Linked DNA regions of Rattus norvegicus. The protein of the gene in region 4 interacts with the protein of the main gene of each other region in a pairwise test. Links are inferred from orthologs where the notes say so. Each region holds a gene or a part of one and is shown on either strand. Other genes may lie near its edges.

Region 1 (7,467 bases), about 5.0 Mb from region 4:
CTGGGCACCAGCAGCTCCATATATGGGAGGGCTTTGAACTCTTCTTCTCCAACGGCCACATAGTAGTGGCCATTCACCAGAGCAGTCCCTGTGGACAGTGGGAGCCCCTCGAGGGTGCAGAGTCTGGGAGAAGAGGTAAAAGAGATGGTGGGTAAGAGACTGCTTCCTACCCTCTGAGTAGGCACTAAGCTCCATCAGAGGACCTTCTGACTCTGGTCCTCAGGGCAACAGTTAACTTAGGTTCTGCCCTGACTGGAGGGCTGGGTTAGGGAACCCCTCCTCTAGGGCACAGGAGGAAGTCCAGCTGGAGAGAACACACCTTCCCATGGCTGTTTCATCCTGGGGAGCAGCTAAAACAGTGTTGCGCCTTGGAGGGGGTGCATTCTCCCTTGTCTCCGTACTCACTTGTGTACAGTCCCACTCTGTACCGTAGCCTTCTCATTCAGTAGCTTCAAGACCACTTCCCAGTCCTGGATGGCAGTCTGGGACAGCTTCAGACTAAAGGGGGGACTTAGCAGGTCCCCGTTCCTGAACACACTGAGACAAAGAACAATAAGGGCAAGGGTCTCCAAGAGTCCCTCTGTGAAAGGGAGTGCAAGAACCAAGTGGTCCAAGAACCACCGACATGTTGGGTTTTTAATCTTCCCACTTGTGATAGGAAGAAACAAAACCCCACTCCTGTCTTCTTGGCCTCAGGGAGTCACAAATCCGTATTCCCCACTCCCGAGGTTGGCACTCACTGGATATAGCAGAGGGTGTCTGCTGGCAACCACTGTCCAAAGGCCCCATCACATGGGCGCTGAGATATGGGAGACTCCTGAAACCAAGGCAGGTCTTCAAGTCAGAAGTTCAGGGCTTGCTGGGACTGGTTAGTTCTAACCATGGGGTGAGCAGACAGGACCCAAACTTGTGAAGGCAAGCGAGAGAGCAGGGTGAATCTGGTCACACCTTCCTGAAAGGAGCATCTGTGTTTCCTGGGCCACATAACTCCTGTCCTTTGCCCTTGGATGTCACCATTTACTTATTCCTTTGGGGACCATGGCCTGGAGATTAGGTCAAAGGCTGGGACTGAGCCAGAGGTAATGTCCTCAATCCTATGTCCCAGGATAGCAGCAGGGTCTAGAGCAAGCGTGATGTGCTCCCTGAAACCAACAACTCTTGCTGCTTCCAGGACCTTTCTCAAAAGTGGAGCAGTCCCAGGAGGGATGGGACAAAAGAGGCTACAGACAGTCCCCACCCCCAGGACTTACATGTTGTTGCCTGTTCTTCCCACCTGGGTATTTCCTTCCAGGAGGCAAATAGCTGAAAGGACAGATAGGTCCCAGGTCACCTTAAGGAAGTGTGAACCTTGACCAGGTAGGTTTATGCCCATTACAACTGAGATTCTTAGCACCATGGCAGGTCTGAGGAGACAATTCTGTGGGTTGCCCTTTCCCTTGACTACTTTGAGATGGGTATGGTGGTACATACCTTTAATTCTAGCACTTCTCTGGCTGGGCATTGGTGGCACACACCTTTAATCCCAGATCTTGGGAGGCAGAGGCAGGTGGATCTCTATGTTCAAGGCCAGCATGGTCCACAGCGTGAGATTCAGGACAGCCAGGGTTATACAGATAAAGCCTGTCTCAAAACAAAACTATTCTAGCACTCCAGAGGCAGTGGCAGTGGGATCTTGAGTTTGAGATCAGCCTGATCTACCTAGTGAGATCCAGGCTAGGCAGATGGGAGGATGGAGTTTCCCCAGGCTAGCCTCTGCACAGAGTATAATGAAAGATGATCTTCAACTTCGGACCCTCCCACCTCTGTGTTCTATGTGCGAGGATTATGGGCCTACAGTCGTTACTGGCCTGGCTCCAAATTCTTAAATTTGTTCTCCTACCCCTCCCACACCAATCATCTGTTCACACTTCCTTCCTGATGCAGCCAAGCATCTCAAAGCCTCCGTTAGACGAGGACCATCCTCTGTGGCATGAGGCAATCTTCCAGTAGCTGCCCAGCACCCTAAACATCCCTCCTCACTGGAGCACTCTCTTTTTGAGCTAGGAATGTGGATGACTTAGGATCCCTGAGTACTGAGTAATCCAGGTAGATATTAGGTACACCATTGTTGAAGACCAAAGGCAAGCATGAAGTATCTTTTTTTTTTTTATTCATTTATTTTATATATAGGCACACTGTAGCTATCTTCAGACACACCAGAAGAGGGCATCGGATCTCATTACAGATGGTTGTGAGCCACCATGTGGTTGCTGGGAATTGAACTCAGGACCTCTGGAAGAGCAGTCAGTGCTCTTAACCGCTGAACCATCTCTTCAGCCCCCAAGCATGAAGTATCTTACTATAGCCCAGAAATTCCCCGGTTCATGGGCTGATTTTATTTTCACTTTGTATGATAGTCAAAGCGATGACTTGTACAGGTTTACACAGAAGGTGACTAAGTCCAGACACCTTGTTCCTTCCCTCTAGTAAACTACTCCACTGAGCTCTCGGAGCAGGTATGGAAGGTAGGGCTGAGTTGGGAGCTCTCATCTCACTGCTCTTCCACTTTGGAAGACAGTGTCATCTCGCAGGGATGGACCAATCTAACAGGAGCTTCGGACACTGAGTAGTGAGCTCATCAGTGACGGTGGGATTGCAGCAGCTCTCAGGGTTGGAGAGACCAAGCCACTTACTGCCAAGCCTGACCTCCGAGCCTACATGGAGAAAGAAAAGAACTAACTCTGGCGAGGTATCCCGACACACACACACACACACACACACACACACACACACACACACACACACACACACAAGAGCACTCCCTGCTCGCTCTTCCTGAGGATGAGTTGATTCAGCACTTGGGAGGCAGAGGCAGGGAGTTGGAGGCCAGCCTGATCTATAGAGTGAGTTCCGAGCCAACAGATGCCATATGGTGAGACCCTGTCTTAAAACAAATTTGGGGGGTTGGGGATTTAGCTCAGTGGTAGAGCGCTTGCCTAGGAAGCGCAAGGCCCTGGGTTCGGTCCCCAGCTCCGAAAAAAAGAGCCAAAAAAAAAAATTGGGGGGAGAGGGGTTTGAGAGACAGGGTTTCTTTGTCTATCCCTGACTGTCTTGGAATGCACTCTGTAGACCAGGCTGCCCTCCAACACAGAGATCCAACTGCCTCTGCCTCCTGAGTACTGGTATAAAAGGTGTGTGCCTCCCACTGCCTGGCTTTAAAAACTAAATTACTCAACAAAAACAGCTTTCAGAAAGACATCCAATTTACAGAATTCTGCCCGTAGGCTTGTCCTGGTTGTGATGGACATACACCTTGGTAACAGAACTTAACTCTGAGTTACAGCTCAATCTGTTTGCTTACATAGCCTCTGGCCAGTTTCTCAGTGTGCTTCTGCACTCTGGTAGTGTACAGTCTCTCCCCAGGCTTTGGAAAAATATTAGCCTGTTGACCTGAAGTACTAGATGCACTGTTAATCCCACCGCCCTCCCCAGACGCTCAAGCCAGCCCCCACCCACTCACTGGATCTTGTGGAATCGTTCGAAGCCAGCAGCCACATACTGCCCTCCGTTCTGTAAGTCAGCCAGGTTGGTGACAGGGTGGCCATCACTAAGTGTGTAGAGGGCACGTACAGCCAGTGGGGCTTGCACAGCTGATGTCACCTCATAAAGGAAAGCCTCCATGGTGGGGTAGCGGCGTTGGGTCACCACCAGCTGGTGGCCTGGAAAGAAGGGGTCCCCATTTCGATACACCAGTATCCTCTTGGCTGCCATAGTGTATCCTCACTCTCAGACACAGAGCTGTTGCCAAGCAACTAAGCCAGGGCTGGGAGATGTGCCAAAGGTGGAGTTCTGCCCTCTTATCCAGGAAGGCTGCAAGCACCTTGGATGGGAGCATTTCCCTGAATTCAGGGTCTCAGATGGGCCTCATAGCAGGACAGGTGTGATCACTTTTTCACTGACTTTGCAGTGAAAAACTCTAGCCCTTGTTCAGCCTGGTCTGACGCCATTATGAAAGGAAGAGCTCGGGCTCAGTGAGAGAGAGATGTCCATCTTGTCCAAGGTTTGGGCTCCTTTAAACAACTGAGACCAAGAGCAACCAGCCTGGAGCCTGTTACCCAAGGAGGATGGCTAGTTCCCTTGGCATTGTTGCTAGCTGGTTCTGGGGATGACACTCCCATGTCAGTGGGAGGTGAATCAGATGGCCCAGAATCTGTCCTGGTCAGAGGCAGGAGATAAAAGGAGACAGGCTCAAAACTTCCCCAAAGCCTGTTCTGACATGCAGGTAACTAAGGAAAGCATCAAGGTATGGTATGTGGACTGGGGTCCGTTAATAGCAGCCAACGGAAGCCTCACTGAGTGGGCAATTTACAGACTCAGCACCACTGATGGAACAAAATTTACGTGGGGTTGGCAAGAAGGCCCAGTGAGAAACTCTGAACTCTTTTTTCTTCAAAAGATTGTATATATCTATATCTATATCTCTCTCTATATATATATATATGTACGTACAATGTAGCTGTCTTCAGACACACCAGAAGAGGGCATCCAATCTTTCAGATGGTTGTGAGCCACCATGTGGTTGCTGGGAATTGAACTCAGGACCTCTGGAAGAGCAGTCAGTGCTCTTAACCGCTGAGCCATCTCTCCAGACCCTCAAGAAAAACTTATTCTCCATGGTCCTCTCACCCTACCATCCCCAAGAGAAGGTGAAATTTTGTAGCAGGTAATAAAAAAAGGAACTGTCTCAGGCTAGCACCAGCACGGAAGGCCATATGGCACCAGCAGCATCCTCTCATCTTGGCCTGCCAGACTTGACAGACTCTCTGGCCTAGAGCTCTTGAACTGTCTCCACCCAACTCGCTAAGTTCCCTTGGCAGGTCACTGTCACGCTAGCCCCATGCCCCTTGTGGTTATAGTCACAATTCCCAGTAACCCAGCAAAATCAAAACTCTAGAGGCTTGTAATTTATCAATCAAATTTATATCAGTAAATTCTCACCCCACAAAACGTCCACACAATAAACTCAGGGCTAACTGAAATTGACAAACTGCCCACCTAGATAAGACAAATTGTCCTGTAATTACCCATCCCATATAAGGTTCATAGCCACCTGTGGCTATTTAAAGCCACCGGATCTGGGTCATCCTTCTCTCCTCCTCCTTACTCTGTCCCGCCTCTCAAATTCTCAGCCCGCTTGCCTTTTTCACTGCCATATTTTGTGCCTGCAAGTAGACATCAATCCACAAAATTTGGTTTAAGTCACAGGCAGAAGAGAAAAGGGCGTGTCGTCCTTCTCTCTCCTACTGTACCAGCTCAGCCCTGCAGCTTCTCTTAGCCAGACAGCTACCAAAGGCAGATGTGGGGCCAGGGAGGCAGGACAAGGGCCTGCTTCCATATCATTTTTCATAGCACCCCCTTCCTTTCCTGGGTCCCCAGGTTGCCTGCTGGTCCTGCTTTCCGTTTTCTGCCCTTCCCCCAGGCCTGTCTTGTGGAAGACAAGTTCTCCAGTGCTTTTCATTTCCACTGCAGAGTCCGTGCTCTCCCATCCTTCTGCACTAAGCTCACTGCAGACCCATGGCTGGAAGCCCTAGCACTAGGGGCTGGCTCTTGGGTGGTTTGGTCTCTGTGAGATCCAGGCTACCATGTTCCTGCCCTGCCAAGGTCTCATCCCAAATCCTGCGGCCTTCTGAGATACTCAGATCATAGGGCCCGGCGCTCTGGCCAGTCAGCCTCTTTGTAGCTTGGCTTTCTGGAATATCTGTCCTCAATATTTAGATTTTCACTGAGAGTGGGCAGCTGTGTTTCGACCTTTCCAGAATAAGAACTCCTCAATTTGAGGTCCCTAAGAGTCTGATCTTCTAGGAGTTTCAGCTGCTGTCGGGAGGTTTCATTAAAGGGCTGTCCTCCACGGTCTGGCCCTTTGGTGACCCTGACCCCTCCAGCCTGGCTCTCTAATGCTGTAGGCAGCTGTGAACCAGAGTTCCGATAGAGTTCCCCGCCTTTAGCCCCAGCAGTGGCTTTGCTTGTACTGGTCATACTGTCTGGGGGTTTCTGCGGCTGCAATGTGCCCCTGTGGCAGGAATCCTCTGCATGATGTGGCTCTCCTATGACCCCGTCTCTATAGGATTGGTTGTCCAGAACACAGCTTGATTGCAACCAGGTCTCCTCATAGGCCTGTCCCCTGTGCTTCAGGCACATCTTAGTAGGCTTGTCTCTGATCTGGCTTGCTTCTGGGGATCGCAGTGTTTGCTTGAGAATCAGGTACTGTTAGGGAAGATCAGAGGCAGGCTTGCTCAGGCACAGCAAAAGGCCCCTCCCCACCCTTGAGTTCAGAGAGGGCTCTCAGTCAGTCCTACCTCCTTCCGACTGTTAATGGCCTGCTGTAGCCACAGCAGCTCCATGGCCAAGTGGTTGCGCTGCTCCTGGAGTTCCTGTTGTGTCTGGGACAATCCTAGATCTGTGACTTCAATGAGGAAGAGACATCCTTAGACACTGGGAACTGGGCTAGCCCTAGATACCCTTCACACTCTCAGACAGAGAAGAGGTGGGGAGGGTTGCGACTGAATCCTTTTGTGGTTCGTGGGAGGCTAGGACCCAGAGGAGGTCGGGGCTTGCCCTGATCTAGCTGGATCCATACCTGCACTTTGCACCTTGGAGATGGAGGGGTCTCTACTGTTCCCCTGGCTGGCTTTCCTGCCCGGCTCAGCCTGTGGCCAGGCGCTGTCACCTCTGCAAAGACTTCCTGGCTCTGCTGGGTTTTTATCTGTCTTCCTCAGCACCATCTCCTCCCAGAGGAGTTCTTTTTCAGAGTCTTTATGTGGGGAATGGCTCGATAGTTTCTGCTCTGGGTTTGGTATTTTCTCTATTTTCCAGGATCGATGAGATTTTGCCTTATGAGAATTTAGAGAAGTGTGAGAATTGCAGGGCTAACACCACCACCACCACCACCACCACCACCACCACCACCACCACCACCACCACCACCACCACCACCATCACCACCACCGGTGTCTGGAAACCATAGTCTAATGGGGAAGTGGGTAGGATCAGGGATTGGGGTGTGAGGAAGTAAACCTGCTTTCTCTTCCAATGGCTGATGTGTTTATAAAGAGAGGGGCGATATGTCCTACGAAGGTGTAGTCAGGAGTCGGGGAAGGGGGTGCCTCAGTGTAGGCCCAGGCTGAGCCATCCCTTCCTCCCGAGGATCCAGCCACATGTTGGTATAGTACAGAATAGAGTTTATTCAGGGTATAGGGAGGGAGTTAAGAGGGTCATCGAAGCAGAGAAAGGGAGTGAGTAGAGAAGCAGAGGCCAGCCATGAGCACCTGGAGAGAGAGTGGGAGCAAGAAGGGGGAAGAGCGGGCTGGAGAGATGGCTCAGTGGTTAAGAGCACCCGACTGCTCTTCCAGAGGTCATGAGTTCAATTCCCAGCAACCACATGGTGGCTCACAACCATCTGTAAAGAGATCCGATTCCCTCTTCTGGTGT
Region 2 (7,681 bases), on a different chromosome or scaffold from region 4:
CTGTCATCTACTCCTAGCACCCTGGTCACTCTGACTCACAGGTCAACAGTCCCCTTTTCAAACCCCCCCTTCCTTCTCTCTCTAGCAATAAAACAGTGACACTTATTGAGACCTAAGCCATCTCCTCTTATCTTGTTAAAACAGGCTAGTAAACTTTTTCTTAAAGAATTATATAATAAACAGTTTAGGCTTCATAACACACACACACACACACTCACTCACTACTGCTGATGTAGTGGAAAAGCAGTAATGGATGTTATGTGTATGAACGAGTATGATTATGTATGATAAAAACGTATAGACACCTATTCTCAGTTTCATACAATTCCACCTTGATGAAAAACATTCTCTTCACCTTTCCCAAACATCTTAAAATAATAAAAACCTACTTAGGTCCAAGCAGCAGCAGAAATTAATGGCAGGCCATAATTTGCTCAGTACTGTGGTGCCTCACCATCCCTCCAAATGGCAATTATTAACATGTGTGATAACCGTTTACTTATTGTCTGAACTTTACACTAAAACACAATAAAAGAAAGCTCATTCACTGATCATTTAATTCCTGTGCCCACCATAGTACTTAAACATGGAAGATAAGACAGGAAGGCAGGCAAGCAGTAGCTCTTACCCTGGGAAAGCATTTGGCTTCCCTCAGTTATGCTAGCACAGGTGATTTATATTCAGGCTAACTGTACCTGTTGTCCACACAATGTCTTTGGCTGTTGTTAAAACTCGAGTATACAGTAAAATTACTGGATGATGAAAGGGTTTTGAATGACATGTGGCCCAAATGTTTTATTATACATAATCTATTCTGAGTAAATAAGATTAATGAGACCCTAAGACTGTAGAGGGAAGTGCAGGAAAGGCCCAAGGACTAGGTTTTTCTTTTACCTTTTCCATGACGAAATGCAACTGAAGAACTGAGTTGTGTCAACCACAACTTCTAGTATACAGGTTTTCCTTCCAAAATGCTTAACACTTTAGCAGTTAAAAGGGACACAGGGAATCACAGGAATGTTGCCTGACAAGGTAAAAGCTGCCCTGCAGCGCTCTCCTGGTTACCTGCAAGAGCTCCCTCGTGGGCTGCTGCTGCTTCTCTTCCAGTTGGGCAATCAGGCCACTGAGGTGGGAGATGTTGCAGGAGAACTGAGTGATGGCACCGTTGATGCTATTATAGATGGCCAAGTCTAGCTCCTCAAGGCGAGCCAACAGGCGATACTCATGTTCCTTCAAAGAGTGATACAGCTGCTCAAACTCCCAAACAATTTTTTCCCTCTCCATCTGGGTCAGGCTCTGTAAATGACAAGCAAAGGTAAGAATAGGAAAGGCTCACTGTTAGAATCCTTCAAAATAACCCCCATGACTTAACCCAAAGATCTCACCATTTCAAGTTACATGAAAACAGACACTATGCTCACCCACTCACTTTCCAGTCTACACAGACACGTGCCGACCACGGACTGAATTACTTCAAATCTTAATTAATAAACAGTCTCTAATCTTAAGGGACCCAGTCAAATCAGGGTCAGGTTCATCCACGGATAGGTAAAGACACTGAAACTCAACTGTCTTCCTAAAGTCCATGTTTGCACAGGTCTTGTAGAATGCCATGTAAGCATAAACTAGACAGGCTGTCTAGGCTGAGCAAATGGCACAGGCAATAAAGTGGGGAGAAAAGGCATTGTTCTACATGACTGGAGCCCATGAACATCTTGCCTGGCAGGCGGAGTCATGAAACAATCACAGTGAAATGGCAGGGTTAGGTGTGCACTCTGTGGACATGACCTGGTATGATCGAGCAAGCACAAGTTTCCTGGATGTGTTTACTTGGTCTCAGTAAGTAATCCATGCCCTGATTTTTTAGGGGGTGCTTATGGGTTCCTCTCCATACAATGTTTCTATTGGTTTGTCTATCTTTCCTACATTTCTAATTCCTCCATGCCTGCATTCCTAGCACTTGGAAGGCAGACAAGGCAAGACTGGAACTTCAGGATCACTCTTAACTATATAATGAACTTAAGATCAACTGGGGCTACCTAAGACATCCTAAAAAACCTAGAGTTCTAAGATTATAAACCAAGTGTGGCAGTGCATACTATAATTCCAGCACTTGGGGAGACTAAGGCAGGAATATGGAGAGTTCAAGACCATCCTGGATTGCATAGTGAAACTATTTCTGAATAAACAAATGGTCAGCAAAATGGCTCTAGAGCAGTCAAGAAAGATTTTACTTGAATCCAGCCAAACCCACTCATTTATGTATTAGACATGGCTGTTTTTGAGATGCAATGACTGAGGTGTTGTGATTTAGCTTGTGTAAATTAACAAAGCTAAAAATACTTATTACTGGCCCCTTTCAGAAAGTTTGCTAAAATCTGACTTGAATTCAACTGTTCCAAGGGCCCCTTATACCTCTTTTAACCTGGATAAGTCTTTCAAAGGTATAAAGTATACAATATAACCTTAGACAAAATTAAGGCTAAAGATCAATTTACTGAGTATATCCAAAGCAGTGTGACTGACACACTGGCACAAGTATTTCTCTCTGGAAAATCCTCCCAAAGCTGATATGATACATTGTATGTTTAAGTTTAGTCTACACAAGATCACTGAGAAGTTTCTTCATCCTGTTTTCAAGCAAGAGGTGTCAAGATCGCACTCACTCAGAGACAGGATGGAGCTAAATGATAGGAATGACAGACACCAAGGGGAAATGCTCTGCTTAGAAGTTTTCATTACACCCTTGCCAAGGCTATCCTGATGCAATGCCTCTCTGCAGGCTGGAGACCTGGACCCTTACCAGGAGCTCAGCTCGTGCCTGCTCCCCCTGTGCCCTCCGTCTCTTCTTCAAGTCTTTCACTCTTCTTAGGTGGTCCAGCCGATTCTGGATTTGCTCCTGAAGAAAGTAAACAGTCAGCCAATTCAGAATTTTGCAGATCTCAGCATCAAAATAGCTACTCTGCTTATGACACAGGAACCCAAACTACAGATGCCAAGGCCGGGCTGGACTCTGTCCTCAGACCACAGTGCCATTCCTGGGAAGAGCCTAAAGCACAGGGTCCAGCACAGCTGTTTTAGAAATTTGTTAAACTCAAGCCACCTACCAGTTCCTAGAAGCATTCTGCACAGGTTATGAGACATCTGGGTAAAGAGGCTCAAAAGGTAAGCTATTCCTCAGACGAATACAGAAAAAAATGATTTATTTTCCTCATGCACAGAACTGGTAAGCATTACTAAATTACAACTTTATTTCCAGTGAGTGAAATGATACAGCTTTGTAAACGTGACTGACATTTGGATGAACTCACATTTAAACAAATCTAACTGTTGGTACATATCCCTGCAGTCCTCAAAACAGACTCATTATCACTTGAGAGTTACTTTATATGTAACATTTTCGAATTACTGTGTAGCTGTGCCAGTGTTTATTCAACAAAGGCCTCTTCAGGTCCTGTGAGTTCACTTCCTCTTCATTAAGTTATCTCCCGAGTCTGAGAGTGGCTAAATGATTTACTCAAGCAGTAAAGAGCTCTGTTCATTTCCATTAGGTTCTAAAACAGGTTACAGGGAAGCGCTGGGGGCTTAGATTAAGTGATAGGCATCGGTCGATGTGAATTCGGCCAGCCAACAGGGGCTGTCTGGTTTGATATCCTGGGCCAGAGCAAGTTCGAGGTGTTCAAGGCCTATGGAAGTGGACATGGCTCCATGTGCATCTCCTTTGTCAAGGGAGGGTCTCCTCGCGCCGTCCCAGCCGCGGCACGCGTTGAGGCAGTTAACAGGGGGCGCTCGGAGAAGGGGTGGGGGTGGGGACGCCTCTGGCCTCGCCAGCTACAGGTTCTCCTTCCGAGTCTGAGCGCGGAGGCTCCGCAGCCGACAGGGAGGAAATGACGGCGGTGGGCCCCACGTCCGGCTCGCCATTTTCTCGGCGGCAAACCAGGAAGCCCCCGGCTCTCCTCTTTGTCCGCCGGCCCGGCCCTACCTTGAAGCCTTCCACAGCCTCCTCCAGCGGCAGCACGCTGTGGCCACGGTGCTCGCGCGAGCGGTCGCACACCACGCAGATGGGCATCTGGTCCTGCTCGCAGTACAGCTTCAGAGGCTCGCGGTGCTTCTCGCACACGCCCATCTCGCCGTCCGGCCCCGACGGCCGCTCGGTGCGCAGTTGCTTCACCAGCTGGGTCACGTTGGCCAGGTGCCGGTTGGGCCGCATGTGGCGCTGCGGGAAGGTCTCCCGGCACTGCGGGCACGACACGTTAGTCTCCGCGGCACCCCAGCAGCGGGCCAGGCACGCGCAACAGATGTTGTGGCCGCAGTCGAGCATCATGGGTTCCACAAAGTATTGAAGACACACGGGGCAGGTGGTCTCCTGCTGCAGGGACTCGGCCACGCTCCCTGAGGCCATGGCGCGAGCCGGCTGGGCCGCAGGGCATGAGCCCGGAGCCGAGCTCTGGCAGAGCCCGGCGCTCTCTCTCGGCTTCTCAGATCCGGAGCGGGGTGGGGCCTCCGGCGCGGGGATCCTAGACGCGTGCGGAGCTCTGGGGCGGCCAGACCCGTCCCCGCACAGCTGCACCTCACGGACAGCGCGGGAAGGCCTGGGCCCCAGGGCCCGGCTGAGAGCCGAGCAGAGGGGTGTCGGGAACCCGGCGCTGCAGGATGGCTCACCGGGCAACGTGGCCGCGTCGGAAGGGATCCCAGGGCCGCGCAGACTCCTAAGGGCCGAGCGGAAGAGGTGGGCCGGGGGCGGGGCCTGGCTTCCCGCGCCGCTCTCCTCCGGGGCGGGAAGGCGGGTTTCCTCGGCGCAGTCCTGGAGCCCCGGTACCCAGCCCGGGAGTCGGTGGTGGTTGCCCTTTGCAGTGGGAGCAGGGTGTCCCTGGCAGTGGGGTCGGGATACTCTAAGCTTTGGTGGATCCGTAGTCCTTTGCCGGGTGTCTTCTTAGTGCCTAGGCCTTGGCTCCTTTAAATGCAAGGTGGCTTTGCATAAGTGCCGGAAAACTGGGCTGAGAGACCAGCTAAGCCCCTCCCAGTGTGTGAAGCACTCTGAAACACACCCAACTCCAGGCGATAATAATCGCCAGAAAAAGGTTTTATTATCAGCAACTTTTCTCAGTGGCAGAAATGGAGAAGCCCACTTCTACTTCCACCCTAAAGTAAGTTTGTTTATCGTTCCGAGCCTCATTTTCTTCTCGCGTGAAATGGGGGATTGATAGAATCCAGACCAGAGTGCTCACCAGACCCTGATACCTACTGAAGTCCTTCCCCTTCTCTCTAGCCTTCCGGCTACTAGGGAGCTGCCTCACCGAGAGCCCGCTTGTGAGTCCCTAACTTCTTAACAGGCTCCTCTGGTGCCCAGTTTCTCACTTCCTCAAGTGAAGTAGCCAGACCAGACATATCAAAGAGCTACTTGATGACACACTTCTTCCCTACCACCTGCTGAGGAAGGAGCCTGGCCGCGGGTTCCTATGAGACCCTAGAAGAAACGACCCTGATTCTGCCACGTGGGCTTCATTCTCGAACACTCCCCAGCCCCCACCTCCCCCTGGCGCCTGTGGCGCGGCCAGAAATTCTGATTGTCCACCGCCTATCTGCCTATGGCGCTAATAAAGTTCTTACTCCCAGCAGTCTGTTTCAGTGTCTTCCTTGAGCCCCCATACACTGTTGCTTTCAGGAATTTTCCCCATCCGTGAGTTAAACTTTTTAAAACACAGCTTGAGCCATAAAGATTTTTATCCATTAGTTTAAATGAAGTGTCCAGTGCATTGAACGGCATTGAGTAGAACCTAAAACTTGCTTGTTTCTGCCCAATTGAGAATTCTGCGACGACCCGAGGAGGTCTTGTAGGCTAGCTTCTTATCACAGAATAGATTTGCAGTTCTGTGCCCTGTCACTTCTGCCGTGGCCTTTCCTACTCTCCTTTGGGATTGACTCAGTGTCTGGACAGGGAATTTCTGTATCCAGAGCATCACTTCATTGGATTCTGCTCGGTTCTTTCCCTTGGGACAAGAAATCCGAGGCACTAACAAGTCTTGCTCACCCAAGCCTCCATTCTCCTACCTGCCCTTTTGAAACTCCAGGCTCAAATAATTCAGCACACTTCCAGTAAAAGGTAGAATGCTTGTCCTAGGCCACACCATAGTCTGTCTAGTCTGGTTCAAAACTGAAGTTGGAATTGAAAGTTCTACTCTCACTCCAGAAGGAAGAAGTACGTTTTGCAAGCTGGTGTGTAACTATGAAATGCAGATAGTAGATATGTGTTCTTAGGTTAGCAGTGCAGCTCTGGCGTTTAGCCTTGTCATCCAGGGCTCATGCTGCCTCTGCTTTCCTAACCTTGAGGTAGATGGCCTGGACAAACCGTTGGTAAGGTGAAGGAAGTAGGGGAAAGGGAAGCTTCCCTTCCCCTCCGTGATTGCTACTGGCCCTCTCCTTTCTCAAGTGATGACTATTTTCTCTTCATTCACTTCATTCGGTAGGCTTGTTGTACAGAGCTTTGTTGCTTAGTCGCCTACTCATTCCCAGCTTTTCTCAGCCTTAGAGGTCAGACCCAGGACCTTAAGTTAGGCAAATGCCCTTCAACAATTCCATCTACTCAGTTTTCATTTTTGTTCCTCCACCTCGACCTAAATTATTGCATACCCTACCTGTTTGCAATGATTTGGAAATGATTTAGATGAATAAAGCACTGCTGTGAATTTTTTATCAATTATGGTTGTCGCAGAAGCCTTGCTACTGTCTGACATTACCAAAAACTCTGAGCGCGGTGCAAAGTGGTGGATTCCCTTTGTCGGCAGGGCTTCTCCTTCTTTGACCTTGTCTGGGGAGCTTGGAAACCCCTCCACACAATCTGCCTGAAGAATGTCACGTAGCCTTGATGAGATCACAGGTGCAGCTTCCTGTCCAGCAAGCACCTAAGATTCCAGGAATGCCTTCTCATGCTAATGAGGCATCAGTGACCTTTGACCACCCTGGGTATTCCTACCTCTTCCTCAAAGCTATAGAATCCTTGGTTCACCTCCAGTAAAGTTGATCTGACTCTCCAAAGCTGACCCTGCAGTGTCATTTCCGTTGGTATTCACAGGCTCTCAGAAACCCTCTTCCTCCTGGGCTGCTGGAGAGTGACCCCAGGGAAACCCACATATGGTAACAATACCTAGTGTAGTTGCTAACTTTTATACACTTATGGGAACAAAATAACAATTCTGAATTGCTTAATCATCTAATAGGGGATGAGGATCCTTGATATATGAAGGACTAAAAATCAAAATTAGCGTACACGTTCAATACAAGAATACAAAAGTTTAAAAAAACCAAATCAGTAGTCAAATGAATTAATTGAACATACAATTCTCGAAAGAAGTACAAATGCCCAGTGTGCATGAGTGTGTGTGCACACAGATGCACACACACACACACACACACACACACCAATATCCAACATCTTTAGGCACCAGGGAAATAGAAATTAAAGCCACACTGGGTTCCATCTCCCACCGATCAAAATGGTGACATTGAGACTAAGCAACAGCAAATACTGACAAGGGATTGAAAGGGTGTCTTTATACGCTATTGGCTAGATGGTTAATGAGTACAGGAAATGACTCGAGTTCTCCCTGCTCCTGCCAAATTAAAAGTTGATCTATCTGTAATGCAACCTGCTCCTGGGTATAGTCACACAGAATGCATGGAG
Region 3 (7,507 bases), on a different chromosome or scaffold from region 4:
GAGGGGATAAAGGAGGAGATTAAGATGCAGTCTTCAGAGGAGGATGGTTCAGATTTAGGTGAACTAGCTTGATTTTATCTTGTCTAGGTGGGCTGTTTATATCTTTATCAATTGGTAGTGAATTTCTTATGTGGGTGAATTGTGGATTGAGAATTTAACATATAAATCTAATTGCTAAATTACAACTTTTTGGAAGTTTGATTTTACTGGGCTAAAGAGGGTAGCGTGTAAAAGAAATAGCTGAAAGGCCGTTGGGGCATGCGGATCTGGTTCTGTTGCCCGAGTAGAGTGACAACACACAGGGCCCACAGAATGAGGTAGGGGTGTGTGTGTGTGTGTGTGTGTGTGTGTGTGTAAGAGAGAGAGAGAGAGAAAGAGAGAGAGAGAGAGACAGAGACAGAGACATGGTAACTACTGCCTAGGGGACCACACAGAGAGGGCAGCTAAAAGTGAGACAGCTGGAAGAGAGCGGTTTGCGGACTGCGTGGCAGAGTAGCAGCCAGAGTGAGCAGATCCGGCTTGAGGGAACTGATAGAGAAGGCTTTTTAATTTTTACCACAATAGGGGTATATTTTCAAAACTCTGAATGTCAGTGAGAAGGCAAAGACCATTCTGTCAAGGTTCAAATTGAGAACATACTATGCTCTCTCATTTTAGTGAAGTATATTAATCATATGCATTTTAATACTGAACATTCTATACAGTATTTTATTAGAGAAATCTAGACACAAGTATATACGGTTTATAGCTTTTCCTGTGTTTTAGGGGTTACTGCTAAACTACCTTCTAAATACAATTTGCAATTTGTATCACCTCTCAGTGCTTGTAATTCTAGTCTACACAGCTTCCTTTGCTATCTCCATGGAGACAGCATCTTGGATCGTACCATGCTCCTGAACAATCTCATTTCCTAACTCTGGCTATCCTCTAAGATTCCGTAACTCTTCTCTCTACTGAGCACTGCTTCCATTGTTAGCGCATTTCTTGCTGCTCTCCCTCAGGACAGTTTTGGTTTTCTACTGATTTTTGCAAACAGGAGACAAGAACAAACCTTTCCAATTTTTCCACTTCACTTAACTCTGTGAGCTCTGAAGACTTAACTGTTTAAATTATTGCAATCAGTATCTACTGTTAGGATTTTAAAAGGCTTTTGGTACTGAACACCTTGGGATAACCCACTAGTGCTGTATTTTTCTGGGCTTTCTTCATTATTTAACTTGAAACACTTGTTGTACAGACTGAACTTTGGCAATTCCCCCTAAAATCACAAATAGTTACACACACCCCAACCTAAACACTGCATTCCACTGCTACTGCTGAAGCAGGAATATCTACATTTCAGGTTTTCATCTGTACTCTACTTGTTCTTTATAAACTATCTTGTTATTCTACTTTCTCTGTACTTGTTCTATGGACAAGTTATTAATTTATGAAGATATTTTATCACCCAACTTTATATAGTGTTGCCACTGTACTGAAAAAACTGAGACAGTAGAAATTATTATGCTAGTGATAGCCTACGAGCTTCCTCCCACTTTTGAGGGTGTATGAGATAGGGTTTCTCTGTGTAGCTTTGGCTGTCCGGGAGCTCTGCCTTCCAAATGCTGGGATTAAACGTATATACCACTGCCTGGCTTTTTCTTCCCTTTTTTGGGATCCTCCCCCACTCCCCCATATAGTCTAGCTAGCCTAGAACTCAAGTTTTTCCTCTATCTGACTGTGGTAAAGTGAATTTTAAAATGTCTTACATACTAGATCAGAATATTCGATACATCTATTAGTTTTCCTTGTATTCTTTACAAATACGTCCTTTATCCAGGATTACTTTCAACCTCATTTAAATGTTTACTTTTCCAATTATTTCCTTATAATATCAACCTAGAGCTATGGAGAATTGAGAATACCTGTTATAGGTGAGGCAAAGAGGCCCAGGTGACCAGAACAGAAGATGAACTGTTATGACTTAGTGAAGGCTATATTATATAAACAAAACTGGGTCAGGAAGAATACCCAGCTCACCTGAGTAGATAAAACCAATTCATGTACAAGTCTGACGATCTGAATTCAATCCCTAGAACACAGCTGGATGCACAGGTCAACATCTGTAATCCCAGTATTTCTACTTTGGGACAGGAGATGGAGACACAAGAATGACCCAAATTGTTGGGCCACCTAGTCTGAAATATGTAGCACTGTGGAAGAAACAAGAGAGATCCTGTCTTAACGAGGTAGAATGTGAGCTCCAGCTCTTGAGGTCTTTTTTTGGCCTTCACAAAACAGCCATGCCACACACTTACCTACACTTGTGCATACACAGAAAACTCACATTAGAGGTTGACCTAACACCAAAGTACTTGATGAGATCAACGAAGACAGTAATAAAAGATGTCACTTACCAACTGCACCTGATCCAAATGTATCATCATTAAATTGATCAATTTCTTCATCTTCTTCTCCCAGGCCCTGAAATGCATCTTCATCTTCATCTAGAGGACAATCCTCCAAAGACTACGGGAAGAAAAAAAAGGATTAACTTCTCATCACATTTATGTAGTCATTTAAAGTTGGACCCTTTAAATGATTTTTTAAGATTTATTGTAGATGAACACACAATTTCTTTATATAACTGTCTGAAATAGTGGTAATTATAAATGAACACTTTATTATCATGCAACCTTTTCAACAAAATTACATCGTCCTCACTATATCCATGTCGTTTTCTCAATGCTTTTAAATCTGTCCATCTTTCTTCCTCTTTCCGGTAGGACTAAACTCTAGCCAGAAAGCAGAAAGCAATCATTTTCAGCCAGAATGCAGATTAAATATTAAAAAAACAATCACAACTTCTTGTTCTACTCTTATAAAGTTGCCTAATAGGAAACTTGAAAAAACATTTTAATTTCTTTTTATTTTATATGCATTGGTGTTTTGCCTGCATACATGTATATGTGATGGTGCTAGGTCCCCTGGAACTGTAGTTACAAGTTATGAGCTGCCATGTGGGTGCTGGGAATTGAACCCAGGGTTTGTGGGAGAGCAGCCATTGCTCCGGCTCCCAGACAACTCTCCCAGACAACTTCTGAGGACCCACTATGTCTTCACACTCTATACTAGGTACTAAATCTCAGTCCCTTAAACTGTAATTCTGAGCCAAACACAACTTGATGAAAGAAATCTGTGTGAAGATCAAAGGAGGCAAAGATTTTAGAAAGCTGAATATTAGCTAGACTCACCATAACATCTTGGGTATGTTCTACTTTATTTTGTTTTAGTTACTGTTTCTCTAGGTACAGGATGGCTTAGCACTCCTGATTCTCCTGCCTCAGCCTCCAGGGAGTAAAGATCACTAGACAAGCTTAGTAAGTATATGCTAATTTCAATCATTTCTCCCAATTCAAATTTATTCAGTTTACCAAGTTTTCTTTGCTTCTGGCAACTTATATTCACAGTATCTCATCATCACTCTTCATCTTTTCACAAAGTGAGTTGAGTCACATATGTAAAGTCAAGCATTCTATTGTTTTCAATGTTCAAAGATTCCAAAATGGAATTCCACACAGTAGTGTTACAGCTTGTGATATAACTTACCTGGGAACTCTGAAGGGCCTTTCTACCCAATCTTCCTCCCCTAAAGAGCCAGTCCTGCAACTGCCTCCATACCAGAAGCAACTTCTAGCAACTCTTTATATCACAACGATCTACTGGGCCAAATCAGGATGGCTCAGTAAGGATTTTCCTAGCTCAGTCCCTAAACTATAAATCCGGAATCTGTTTGGCCCCAAGATTAGGAGTTGCTCAAGGTCACACAGCAGTAAATGACCGTCAGCAAACAGCTACATTCTCCAGGCGTCACCAAACCCACACTTTCCTCCATTCACCTAGAAGGAACTTCTGGGGGACACGCCCCCTCCCCACTCCGAGCCTTCCTTACAAGCTGACTTTAGTCTCAGCCCAAGGGCCAGTTCCTAACCCTCCACCTGACCGCTGCCCGCGTACACACGGGTGTGTGTAATCCGGGTGAAGGGGTTCCGGGTGCAGGGCGGGAAACGCTTCCGTGGGCATTCCCCGGGGATTTTGCCACGGAGTAGGAGCAATGCAGGTCTCCAAGGCAGCTCCACGAGCGGAGGCGCAAGGAAAGGGTCAGGTTACCGCACTTAACGGGCTCTCCCAGCCGCAAACCAGCGGCCGGCTCTAGCCAGTCCCGCCCCCCGAGGTGCGCTTCGGGCCCCACCCGAGCCCGGCGGCCGAAGCCAGGTCGCCAGCCGTCCGCGCCCTGCCCCCTCCTCAGCCGCACAAGACCCGCGCGACGGGCAGCAGAGGAAAAAGGGGGCGCGCGGGCGAGGGAGGGGTCATTTCCGGTCGCAGCCACTCACCTCGTAGCGGAACATTCTTGGGGAAGGGGGAAGGGAGCGGGGAGGGGAGTGGGGGGAGGGAGGGAAAAAAAGCGCCGACTCCCCGGGCTGCTCCGCGCGCGCGGGTCTCCCACCGGCTCGCGACCCCTGGCCGCCGCCGTACGCCGGAGCGTGCGTGGGGACGTGCGCAGGCGCGCCTCGGGCTGGGCGGGCGCCTCGGCGGCTGCAGCTGCGCGGGGACAGATTTGGCGTTTGACTTCCTAGTGTGAGCGGCGGGAAAGAGATCCCTAGGCAAGACACTGCGCACGCGCGGCCGTCGGGGCTGAACCAGAGAGCCTGAGCTTGCGGCTCCTCCTCCGTACTCCCAGCGGCACTCTTGCGCTGTGCTTTTCAGTCACGAGATTCCCGTCACTGACTGGGCGGAGAAAAGCCTTGTGAATGTCACAGGATGCGACCCTAAAGCGACTGCTGAGAAAATCGGGGATTTTATTTTTGGGTGGTTTCACCTAACGTCCAGTGCCCTTCTCGGGGTGCCTGGACTTGATCTGTGAGGGGGAATAGTGTGGAAAATCAGTGTTCTGGAAAGGGACGGGTCGCTGGCTGAATCAGCAGGGAGACCAAGGCTGTGATTAATAGAGGCCAAAGTGTTGACAGCATCTGTTTTCAGGAAAAAGACAAGGCACATTTAAAGAGGGTTATTTAAAGTGATATTTTTAGATGCCAGGCGCTTCAGGCCGTTGGGAAGCGGGAGAGCCCTAACGGGCCGCGCAGCCTTAGGGTTGGGGTCACCGTAGCAAGGTCAGTGAGCTTGAGTGCGCTGTAGACAACCATTTCCGTTCAGGATCAAGCCCAGAGGAGTTTGCTCAGCTTGCAAGCCTCAGCACCCTGGTTCTAGCAGCTTTGGTGCTTTATTGCCTCTAGTGAGTCCGTCTGAGTGGGTGTCTTAATTTTTATTTTATTTTTGAAACAGGGTTTCTCTGTGTAGCACTGGCTGTCTTGTTATTCACTCTGTAGACCAGGCAGCATAGCTCCTCCTGCCTTTGCCTCAGAGTGTTGGATTAAAGGGGAACAATGTCACTCACTACCCCCTGGCTCTTGTCTCACCTGGGAATGAATGGTGCACTTTAATTCCTTAACACATGACTGTTAACGGGACTGGGTTAATCAACTAGCTTACTATAAGCATTGGATTTGAAAATAGAAGTTCTGGATTGGGAAATGTCAGTTTTTCCACTGCTATGAGAAACTGGGCATGTTTTTCTAAACATCTGACCCTTCATGTTTTCTTTCATAAAATGGGTATAATTATATCTATCTCACCAAGTAGAATACATTCTCTGCTCTAAGTAGATAGCCTTAAGCCTCTCACTGCAAAGTGTTGCAGGGTTGGGTAGCTAAAATGTCTGAATTCCTAAATCGGATCACTTAAGAGCAAATCCACTTGACTCTTTCTTTCTTTCTTTCTTTCTTTCTTTCTTTCTTTCTTTCTTTCTTTCTTTCTTTCTTTTTTTTTTTTTGCCTCCCTCCCCAATCCACTTGACTCTTAAAGAGAAGGCAAGGTAAGCTAGTAATTGATTTTCAAGAGTTATGAAACTTTCGTGTGAGGTAACAGGCTCTTACGATTATCAAAGTACCAAGAGGCCATTTAGACCAAGAGCTATCAAACTCTGGTCAGACTTATTTTGTAAGCCTGCCAGCCCGCATTTACAAAATGTCTTTTGTTGGTTTGCTACTGTTTATTAGTTTTGTATTGTGACCAAAATCCTGAGCAGACAATATAAACGGAAAAAAGTTAATTTAGACTCAGGTTTCAGAGGGTATAATCCGTGCTTGTTCCTAGCAAGTCATGGAGTGGGAGGGAGTGTGTGGCAAAGGCTATTTGTTTATTGTATGACAAGAAAAAAACTGAGATATAGAAGACATTTAAGATTCAGCTTTCAAGGGACACCAGCTTCCACTTCCTCCACTAGGCCTCTGACCTTCCAGGAGTTCCCAGTAATGAATAGCATTACAATTACAGTCCTCATATTTTGAATCAGTCATTATAATCATTTTAGTCTATTCGTTCGATCACAGTGCTCACGATCCAGTTTTCTCTGACACCCAGAGGTGTGCCTCACTAATCTCTTAGCAGGTGCTTTATCCTGTCAAGATAATGAGTTGTCAAAGGTCTGTGAGGTTATAAAGAAGACTTTTTGTCCTTGAAGCATGAAAATGTTTAGTCAAATCTTATTTATTTTTCTATTTCTAGTTTCTTGATACAGACTCTCTCTATATACCGTTAGCCCTTGCTGTCCTGAAACTCACCACGTAGACTTCAAACACACAGAGATCTGCCTATGTTTGCCTATATTTGTTTAATCTCAGATTAAAGGTGCGTGCCACCATGTCCAATTTAGTCTACACATTTAGAGAGTAAATTTGGTGATACCAGATCATGTTTTCCGGTCATTTAGAAATAAATAGTAAACAAACAAAAAAAATTGTGTTTGGAAACCAAATAGATCCACCCAGTTTGTGAACTAACTGAGAAAGCAATGGAAGGTAGAAAAGATTTAAAACCGCATGATAAACATATTGATCCATCAGAGGCAGGCATATGGTCTTTGGGAGGTGAGGGCAGAATCAGGAATTTAAGGTCATCCTCACTTGCTGGGTCACACGAACTGCTTCCCCTCCCCCCACCCCCCCAAAAAATAAAAACAAAACCTACCAGTTTTAGGATACAGCTAAAGCACAAAGTTGGAAATTACCTACCAGAAAGTATAATTTCCTACAAAAAAGTAGGAGATTTTACTTATTAGAAGTCTTTGGAGCAGTAGTTCTCAACCTGGGGGTCACAAACCCTTTGGGGGGGGTCAGGGGACCCTTTCACATATCAGATATCTATATTATGACCTGTAACTAGCAAAATTACAGTTACGAAGTAGCAATGAAAGTTTTATGTTTTGGGTTCACCACGGTCTGTTTTAAAGGTAGAAGCAATTAAGACGGTTGAGAACCACTGCTTCCACAGGGTGAATATATGTTAAAAGAGGACGTGATAGAGTGACTTACGCAGTCCATTCTTGTAGTACTCCAGTAGTCAACTCACTGGGAAACCCAAGATCTTAGTAGTTGCTCAGACCACAAGGGCAGGTCTTTCAGTCCCAGTC
Region 4 (7,491 bases):
CACACACACACACCACTGTTTTAGAATTTATTATGTATTTTTTATTTCTGTGTATATGTTTGTCTTTGTGTGAGTGAATGTCACCCGTGCTCCTGTCTGAGGAGGTCAGAAGAGGGCATCAGATTCCTTGAAGCTGGGGTTAACAGGCTGTTGTGGGTGGGAGCCGAGCTCAGGTCTTCTGGAGGAGCAGTTCACTGGCTATTGTGTCAGCCTGACACAAACTAGAGTAACTGTGGAAGAGGGAAACTCAATTAAGAAAATGACCCCCACCACGTTGGCCTGTAGGGAAGCCTATGGTAGGCTTGTGGTAGGCTTGTTTGATGGTCGGTTGCTTGCTGTGACTCCTGGGCTGGTGGTCTTGGGTGCTAGTGTGCCGACGACAACAATGACGACGACGACAGGCTGAGCAACTCATGAGAAACACCAGTGAGTAGCATGTTCTGCTACAGTTTTTTTTTATAAAGATTTATTTATTATATATATGCAGCTGTCTTCAGACACACCAAAAAAGGGCATCAGATCCCATTACAGATGGTTCTGAGCCACCATGTGGTTGCTGGGATTTGAACTCAGGACCTCTGGAAGAGCAACCAGTGCTCTTAACCACTGAGCCATCTCTCCAGCCCTGGCTCTGGCATGGTTTTTACCTCCAGGTTCCTGTCCTGCTGGAGTTCCTGCCCTGACTTCCCTTGATGCTGCTGCTATGTGGAATTGTAAGCTGAAATAAACCGTTGACTCTCTAGCTTGCTTTTGGTTATGGCGTTAGAAAACTAACAGCAAGCAGGCTCATGCAACGAACTATCTGTCTCGCCCCCCTAATTCTATTTTTAAAGAGAACTGACTCCAGAGAATTGTCCTCTGACCTCCGACACAAGAACACAGGTACACTAGCACTAGCACACACATGTGAACACACACACACACACATACACACACAAACCACCCACATATATGTACATATATATGTTTATTGGATAATTACATGAGTTCATGTATGTAAAGTGCTTAGGGAGTGGTGCGCACTGAGAGTTCACAGAGTCTGGGATCTTGGTAACACCCTTCAGTAGCACTTCAAGCCATAAAAACAAGATGAAAGATCAGAGAATGAAGTACCTTTACTGCTCACTCATACCTCAGGGCTCAGTCCTAGTTAGGGTTTCTACTGCCATGAGGAAACACTGTGACCAAAAGGCAAGTTGGGGGGGGAAACGGTTTATTTGACTTATACTTCAACATCACAGTGCATCCCTGAAGGACGTGAGGACAGGAACTCAAACAGGGCAGGAACCTGGAGGCAGGAGCTGATGCAGAGGCCGTGGAGGGGTGCTGCTTACTGGCTTGCTCAGCCTGCTTTCTTACGGAATCCAGGACCACCAGCCCAGGGATGGCACCACCTGAAATGGCACTGGACTGGGTGTTCCCCCATCAATCCCTAATTAGAAAAATGCCTGGGGTTGGGGATTTAGCTCAGTGGTAGAGGGCTTGCCTAGCAAGCGCAAGGCCCTGGGCAGCTCCGAAAAAAAAAGAAAAAAGAAAGAGAAAAAAAAAAAAAGAAAAAGAAAAAGAAAAATGCCCTACAGGCTTTCATACAGCCTGATCTTATGGAAGCCTTTTCTCAGTTGAGGTTTCCTCCTCTCGAAGACTCTAGCTTGTGTCAAGTTGACATAAAACTAGCCAGCACACTTTCCCACCATTGTCCTCACTTCATGTCAGGACAGACAGACAGACCCCTGCTGTCTGCTCCAACCAGGAATGATGGTGTTTCCTGCATTCCTGTACATTTAGAGTTCCCTAGACCTGAGAGACAAATCCCAGAGGAAGGGCCCACCCTTAGACTCTCTATTCACTGGCTAGACTCCTGATAGCAGGTGCCTGGCAGGGAGTAGCAGGGGGGTCTAAATGAAAGCAGTGTGTGACATTCTTTCCTCATTTACTGCAGGTCGAACACTGGAGTAGATACTGGGAATGCCGTAGTGAACAACAACAGAAACAAAAACAAAACAAAAAAACCCCGACCCAACCTCTGCTCTCGTGGCATTTGCAATTTAAGAATCAACAGCATTGGGGTTGGGGATTTAGCTCAGTGGTAGAGCGCTTGCCTAGGAAGCGCAAGGCCCTGGGTTCGGTCCCCAGCTCCAAAAACAAAAAACAAACAAGAATCAACAGCATTGTGGTTGGGGATTTAGCTCAGTGGTAGAGCGTTTGCCTAGCAAGCACAAGGCCCTGGGTTCGGTCCCCAGCTCTGGGAAAAAAAAAAATCAACAACATTGAAGCAATTCTTTAACTTTAAAAGGAAACCTGGTCTGGTAATTGTTTTAGGACCTAGGAACCAGACCCATGTTATGGAACGATCCTCACCAGCCTTGAAGGCTCTTAATCCCCACAAACTACCTTGGCTGGATGCAGCCTTGGATCAGGGAAGCCTCTCTGGGCATCTGAATCATCACGGAGATGCAAAGGTTATTACCAGGGTTAGTTTGTTGTCTCTTGTTTTGCAAACAGCACAACAGAGCTTCCCCCACCCCACCCCCGCCCTCCAGATCAAGGCTATTTATTTCTAGTGACAAGCCTGAGGATCCCAGGGGGGTTGGCCTCAAGGACCTGGATGGGCCTCATGTCCCTGGCAGGCGCCAGTCCTCCCTTCCCGAACCAGGGTAGAAGCTGGAGGGTCAGAAACTACACAAGTTCCCTCTCTTCTTAACCACCCCTGCCTACACCAACCCAACCCCTCACATTGTTCACACACCCTCTCAAGAAACCCAAAGCCAATGGGACCTAGGATTAGGGTCTCCCTGAGCCTGAAAGGTCAAAATTATTCCTGGGCACTATTGAAACCTCAGTGCCAGGACACAGCTGAAGATGGGGAGGCTGTTGCCTGGGCTTTCGCCACTCGCTTATAGAATAAAAATCCTTTGAAATTGAGGAGGATAGAGGCTCTCTCTCTTTAACCCAAGTTTTTAGAAAAAACAAAAAAAAACAAAAAAAAAAAACAAACACAAACCCTTGATCTCCACTGGTAAGTCAGAATCAAAACCACGCCTCCAGCAGGCTGGATTAAGGCCTCTTCCCAAGCTAAGGTTTAGTGTAACATCTGGGGATGAGCTAGAGGGAAAAGAGGAGGGGGTCTGGTCCCCAGATGGACTCTAGCTAAGTCCTGGAAGCCCCGTATCCCTGGCCTGGGATCGCTTCCAGAAATCCCCCGGGGTCGAAGGGGCGTAGAGGGCGGGTCAGGCTGCAGGGGGCGAGCAAGGAGTGGTCGAGAAGGTCAGAGCGCCAGATTCGCCTGGGCTGGGCTCGCGGCAGGCAGGAGGGGGCGGGGTCTTGCCCCCGCGGGCGGGTTGGGGGCCCGGGGGCGGGGTCCGGGCGGGGCGGGCCGGCTCACTTCCTCGGAGGCTTAGGGCCGCGCGCCCACTCGCCCACACAGTCTGTCGCAGCAGGCTACCTCGCCGCGGCTCTCTCGGCCCCCTCGGCCCGGCCCGCAGGTAGGAGCCGCCGGGAGATCGGCTCCCGCCCCACCCACGCCGCTCGCGCCCAAGCTCCCGCGCCCGCTTCGAGGTGAGAGTCCCCCCACCCACCCAGCTTCCAGCCCCTGTTTCCGCGCTGCGTTCGGACCAGGGTTGGCGCCCGGGCCCCCACCCCTGTCCTCTGCTGGGGCATCTCGAACACGGGATCCCGCGCGCCTGCACGGACCCCACCGCTCCGCGCCTCCCGGTCGGGCAGGGACCGCCCGAGTTGCAGGGGATTGGGACCAAGTTTGAACTAGAAAAGCTTTAGAGGTAGCGGGGTTGGAGAAACTGAGGCTTTTAAGGAGTCTGGTAGAACAGGGAAGGGCGCGCGCCCCAGGAGGCTACCCGGACCACACCAATGGTGGCTGAGAATGGCCGGATAAACTTCTCGAGGCGCTGCCGGGGACCCGGGTTCTGTGGAGCAATTTAAGAAGCAAAATGTATGACCCCAGGGAACTCATTGCTAGCGCCCTTCCCAGGGCCTTGGAAGGCCCCGAGGCTGGAGCTTGTTAGACTATGGCTAAATCTGCCTCCCTGAGGCCTAAAGAGACTCTCAGGTGAGAGACACTGAGACGCTGAGAGACCAAGACTTGGATGCACAGGGACAGAGATCCTCAGAGTGGAGGCCCCACTAGGACACAGTTTCAGAGATACAGGAACACCTTCACCCCAACACAAAGACAGCAGCCCAAGGGTACCGAGAGGTATGGAGTGGAGGCTAGAGTTCACTGAGGAGAGACACCTAGTGTATTCACTGACAGCTGCCCCAGGCCTGAAAGGGTGGAGGCAAAGCTAGGGGGAAATTGAGTCTTAGCCAGCCCATCCCCCAGGAGGCAGAGGACCTGAGGCTGTAACGCTGAGCTGAAGAAAGAGAGCCCCGTACAGCCTCTAAGACAGCGCCAACTTATTTTTAAACTCAAATCTTGGACGCTCTGCCTCAGCCCTAGGGGACTCTGGGGTGAATGAAATGTTCCTCTCCTGTCCTCAGAGCAGCTGCTGGATCCGCTCCCTTATCCCCTTCTCCCTAAACTGCTTGACTTCCAGGCCCTGTGGGCAAGAGGGGCGGTGGAGAGTTTGGGATTGGTGCCTGGTTGGGGGACAGGGAGAGGGAGGGTTAGAGGGGGCTCTAATTTCTCCCCTAAGTCTCTTGTCAAGGGGGAGGGGTCTTCTCTAAGTCTGAGTCACAGCTGTGGGGTCTGGCCAGGGTCCTCGTGGACTTGGGATATGTGGGGGAGCGGGAGGCGGGGAAGGGGGGTATACCAAAGGGTTGAGCAGTTGGCATGGGTGATTGGAAAGACTTCTGGGTGTCTTCCAATGGCAGGTTGACAGCTGGGGAGGAGAGCCAGCCCCGTCCTCCCCTCCCCCCATGACTGCCCCTTCCACCACTATCATAGCATTTCCAGGCAGAGCTCTCCACTAAGGGATAGGTCACTTGTGCTCCAATTGCTGAACAGTCTCGGTCATGCCCCTAGCCTGCCCCTAGTGTCTTGTGCTGAGCTCTAAACGAGCTATACACTCTGTCCTGCCTTTTGGTGTGCGGCTTGTAGTGACCGTGGGGTATGTATTGTGTAAATAACAAGACATCGAGCAAAGTGTGTGCCCCCGGGAACTACCCACCTGTAAGGTCTTTAAAGTTCCCCCTCCTCCTGTGTCCTGCTGACTGGTCTCAGTGGTTCCCTGAGACTCCTGAGGTCACATCCCAGGCCAATTCCCGCTTCAGGCCTGCCTGAGACCCACCGTCTGACCCCAGTAGGAGTTGAGGGGCTTGTAGTAAAAATACAAGTGACTACCGTTTACTTACATAAGGCTACAGACTTATGACTGGCCAGACACTGTTCTGGGGATTGTCACATTTAAGCTCAACAGCTGTCTTAGGAGAGGGAGGTAATAGTATCTCATTTAACTAGATGGACAGTCTCGGGGCATGTAAACTGTGTACCCAAGGTCACAGGATTTCAAGTCGGGTTTATATTTTGTGACCCAAGCAAGCTGTTATACACTGGACACCGTACAGAAAGATATGCTGCCACTCTGCTCTCGGAAGTTCACTGGTGTGTGTGTGTGTGTGTGTGTGTGTGTGTGTGTGTGTGTGTGTGTGTGTGTGTTCAGTCAGGCATGGAGATATGTGTGTTAGTGGAAATAGCAGATTGGGGTCATCTGGAAGACCCACTGTCTCCTCTAATCTACCCCCCTCCTAACCCCCTACTCCTCCACCCCCTTCACCTCCTCACCCCCCTCACTCTCCCACCCCCTACCTGCTACCAGGAATACAGACCATCTCCCAGCTCACCTTTCTAGTCCTCCAGCCTTGCCAGGGATGGGGGTGGGGTGGGGGGGACTGGGGAAAAGACAAGTGGGCCTTGGTGGTGCCCTTCACTCTGTCCTCATTAGAGACATAGATTAAGGGATTGGGAGATTCTGGGAAGGAAGCAGAAGGCACACCCATGCCCTATTTGGGGTGCCTCATCTCATTGTGGTGACTGGCTCTGAGGGGGTGGATCCAGGGCTAGCCTGGACCTGGGAAGGTAGCTGCTGCCGCCAAGCCCGGAAGGAAGGGCTCCCAAGTGGACTCACGGCCACAGACCACCTGTATTTGCTGTTGTGGCTAACAGCCCAGGCGATCCTCAGAGGCTGGGCCAGAGGAGACCAAGACCTGAATGACGGTGGGGGGAGAGAAGGAGAGGGAAGAGGAGGTTCTCTTCATCCTTTAGCATAACCCCTACCTGAGGACTCTCCCCTTTGAAGACTTCAGCTTTGGTCTGTCCAAAGCTTTGGTGTGTCCTGCTTTGGTTGTGAACCAGGTGTTCTCCCACCTTGTGGAAGGGAAAGTTCAAATTCATAAGCCACAAAGAGGTGGGCCCTTCAAGGCTTGGGACATCTGTTGTTGCCTGAAGTCTGAACTCTAAGGCAAGGCAGACCAAGGTGTTTGGTGAGAATTTACTGTACTTGCTGAGGGGGGTGTGTGTGTGTGTGTGTGTGTGTGTGTGTGTGTGTGTGTTTTGGGAGGGCGGGGAATGCCTTTCCTTCATCTTAAGCCAGGGCAGCTATGGAGAAGGGGGTTGGTAGGATCCTTTGCGCACCCCCCTTTAACTTCCTCCAGTCTCCTGTGCGACAATGACACCATCCCGACTTCCTGTGGGTCCTGGGGGATCTTCCTCACTGTCCAGCCCTTTGAAAGCTTGCTTCATAATGGAGCAGGGTGGAGCAGGGGAACTCTGACTTTGGGGCCAGGGAGACTGGAATTGGCCAGCAGAAGAGACCGGGAACCCCATTTCCCTGCCCCCCCCCATCCTTCATGCTCCTGTTCCAGAGGCAGCTGTGTGGGTGACCTCATCCCACAAACATGCTTTGTTCCTGAGAAAATGGAAAGTGTCTGAGGTTTGGTGGGGGGCTGGGTGTCTGCAGCAACAGCACTTAGGACTCCCCTTGTCTTACTCCCTGTTAAGAAGGGACCCCACTGGGGCTCCAGGGGCTCCCACCTTCTCAGCTTTCACTACTCTGGCCTCAAACCCTGGGAACCCAGGGAAGGTAGGCAGAGGCAGCTTGTCCAGATGCAGGGGACTTTGCAGGGCTAGAACGGGCACCTGGCAGGAGAAGCAAGACACTGCCCTATCTGTGTGTCTCCATTTCCTTCCGCTTCCCTGGGCATCTCGTTTTTTCCCTTTTTTCTCCCTCTGGTTGGCAAAAGGCTGACATCTGGCCCTCCGTGCTGCCACAGCTGCAGCAGATGTCACAGCCAAGACTGCCCGGGCTGGTGTGACCAGAGACACAGCAGAGGTGGTAGGGATGAGGATGAGGTCCAGCTGGGGAAGTCTGGCTGTCCAGCTTGCAGGGTTTCCTTCCTGCCTGAACCTAAGCGGAACCTCTCAAGTTTTTGCTGCTTGGCTGATTCCCCTGGGAGGGGAGGCCCAACTTCTCACACCGACGTGCACCATTCATCAGACAAGCATCTCTCTAGCAGTCCACGATTTCCTGCATCTGCATC

The links. The genes of interacting proteins can lie anywhere in the genome.
Region 1: the proteins of Fhl3 (region 4) and Dcdc2b interact in binary tests that used the Homo sapiens proteins (3 or more experiments, as listed by UniProt). The two-hybrid records come from large-scale screens. The link is inferred for Rattus norvegicus from reciprocal best matches to the Homo sapiens genes FHL3 and DCDC2B.
Region 2: the proteins of Fhl3 (region 4) and Trim27 interact in a two-hybrid assay, tested with the Homo sapiens proteins (2 studies listed by BioGRID and IntAct). The two-hybrid records come from large-scale screens. The link is inferred for Rattus norvegicus from reciprocal best matches to the Homo sapiens genes FHL3 and TRIM27.
Region 3: the proteins of Fhl3 (region 4) and Patl1 interact in binary tests that used the Homo sapiens proteins (3 or more experiments, as listed by UniProt). The two-hybrid records come from large-scale screens. The link is inferred for Rattus norvegicus from reciprocal best matches to the Homo sapiens genes FHL3 and PATL1.

Annotation. Positions count from the first base shown.
Region 1 is NC_086023.1:147,237,284-147,244,750, forward strand, and holds the start of Dcdc2b (doublecortin domain-containing protein 2B), read right to left. Parts: upstream 4,494-7,467; 5' UTR 3,751-4,493; coding exon 3,500-3,750; intron 1,303-3,499; coding exon 1,251-1,302; intron 818-1,250; coding exon 741-817; intron 538-740; coding exon 406-537; intron 124-405; coding exon 1-123. Other genes in the region: Iqcc (IQ domain-containing protein C), read right to left, coding at 5,680-6,243, 6,336-6,442, 6,617-6,869.
Region 2 is NC_086035.1:48,241,656-48,249,336, forward strand, and holds the start of Trim27 (zinc finger protein RFP), read right to left. Parts: upstream 4,403-7,681; coding exon 3,983-4,402; intron 3,451-3,982; exon of another isoform or gene 3,312-3,450; intron 3,246-3,311; exon of another isoform or gene 3,108-3,245; intron 2,900-3,107; coding exon 2,804-2,899; intron 1,297-2,803; coding exon 1,066-1,296; intron 1-1,065. Other genes in the region: uncharacterized protein LOC134482717, read left to right, coding at 4,401-4,729, 5,334-5,370. UniProt on the Homo sapiens protein: E3 ubiquitin-protein ligase that mediates ubiquitination of various substrates and thereby plays a role in diffent processes including proliferation, innate immunity, apoptosis, immune response or autophagy.
Region 3 is NC_086019.1:218,252,861-218,260,367, reverse strand, and holds the start of Patl1 (protein PAT1 homolog 1), read right to left. Parts: upstream 4,494-7,507; 5' UTR 4,389-4,493; coding exon 4,374-4,388; intron 4,277-4,373; exon of another isoform or gene 3,589-4,276; intron 2,509-3,588; coding exon 2,397-2,508; intron 1-2,396. UniProt on the Homo sapiens protein: RNA-binding protein involved in deadenylation-dependent decapping of mRNAs, leading to the degradation of mRNAs. Acts as a scaffold protein that connects deadenylation and decapping machinery.
Region 4 is NC_086023.1:142,235,283-142,242,773, forward strand, and holds the start of Fhl3 (four and a half LIM domains protein 3), read left to right. Parts: upstream 1-3,507; 5' UTR 3,508-3,555; intron 3,556-7,491. UniProt on the Homo sapiens protein: Recruited by SOX15 to FOXK1 promoters where it acts as a transcriptional coactivator of FOXK1.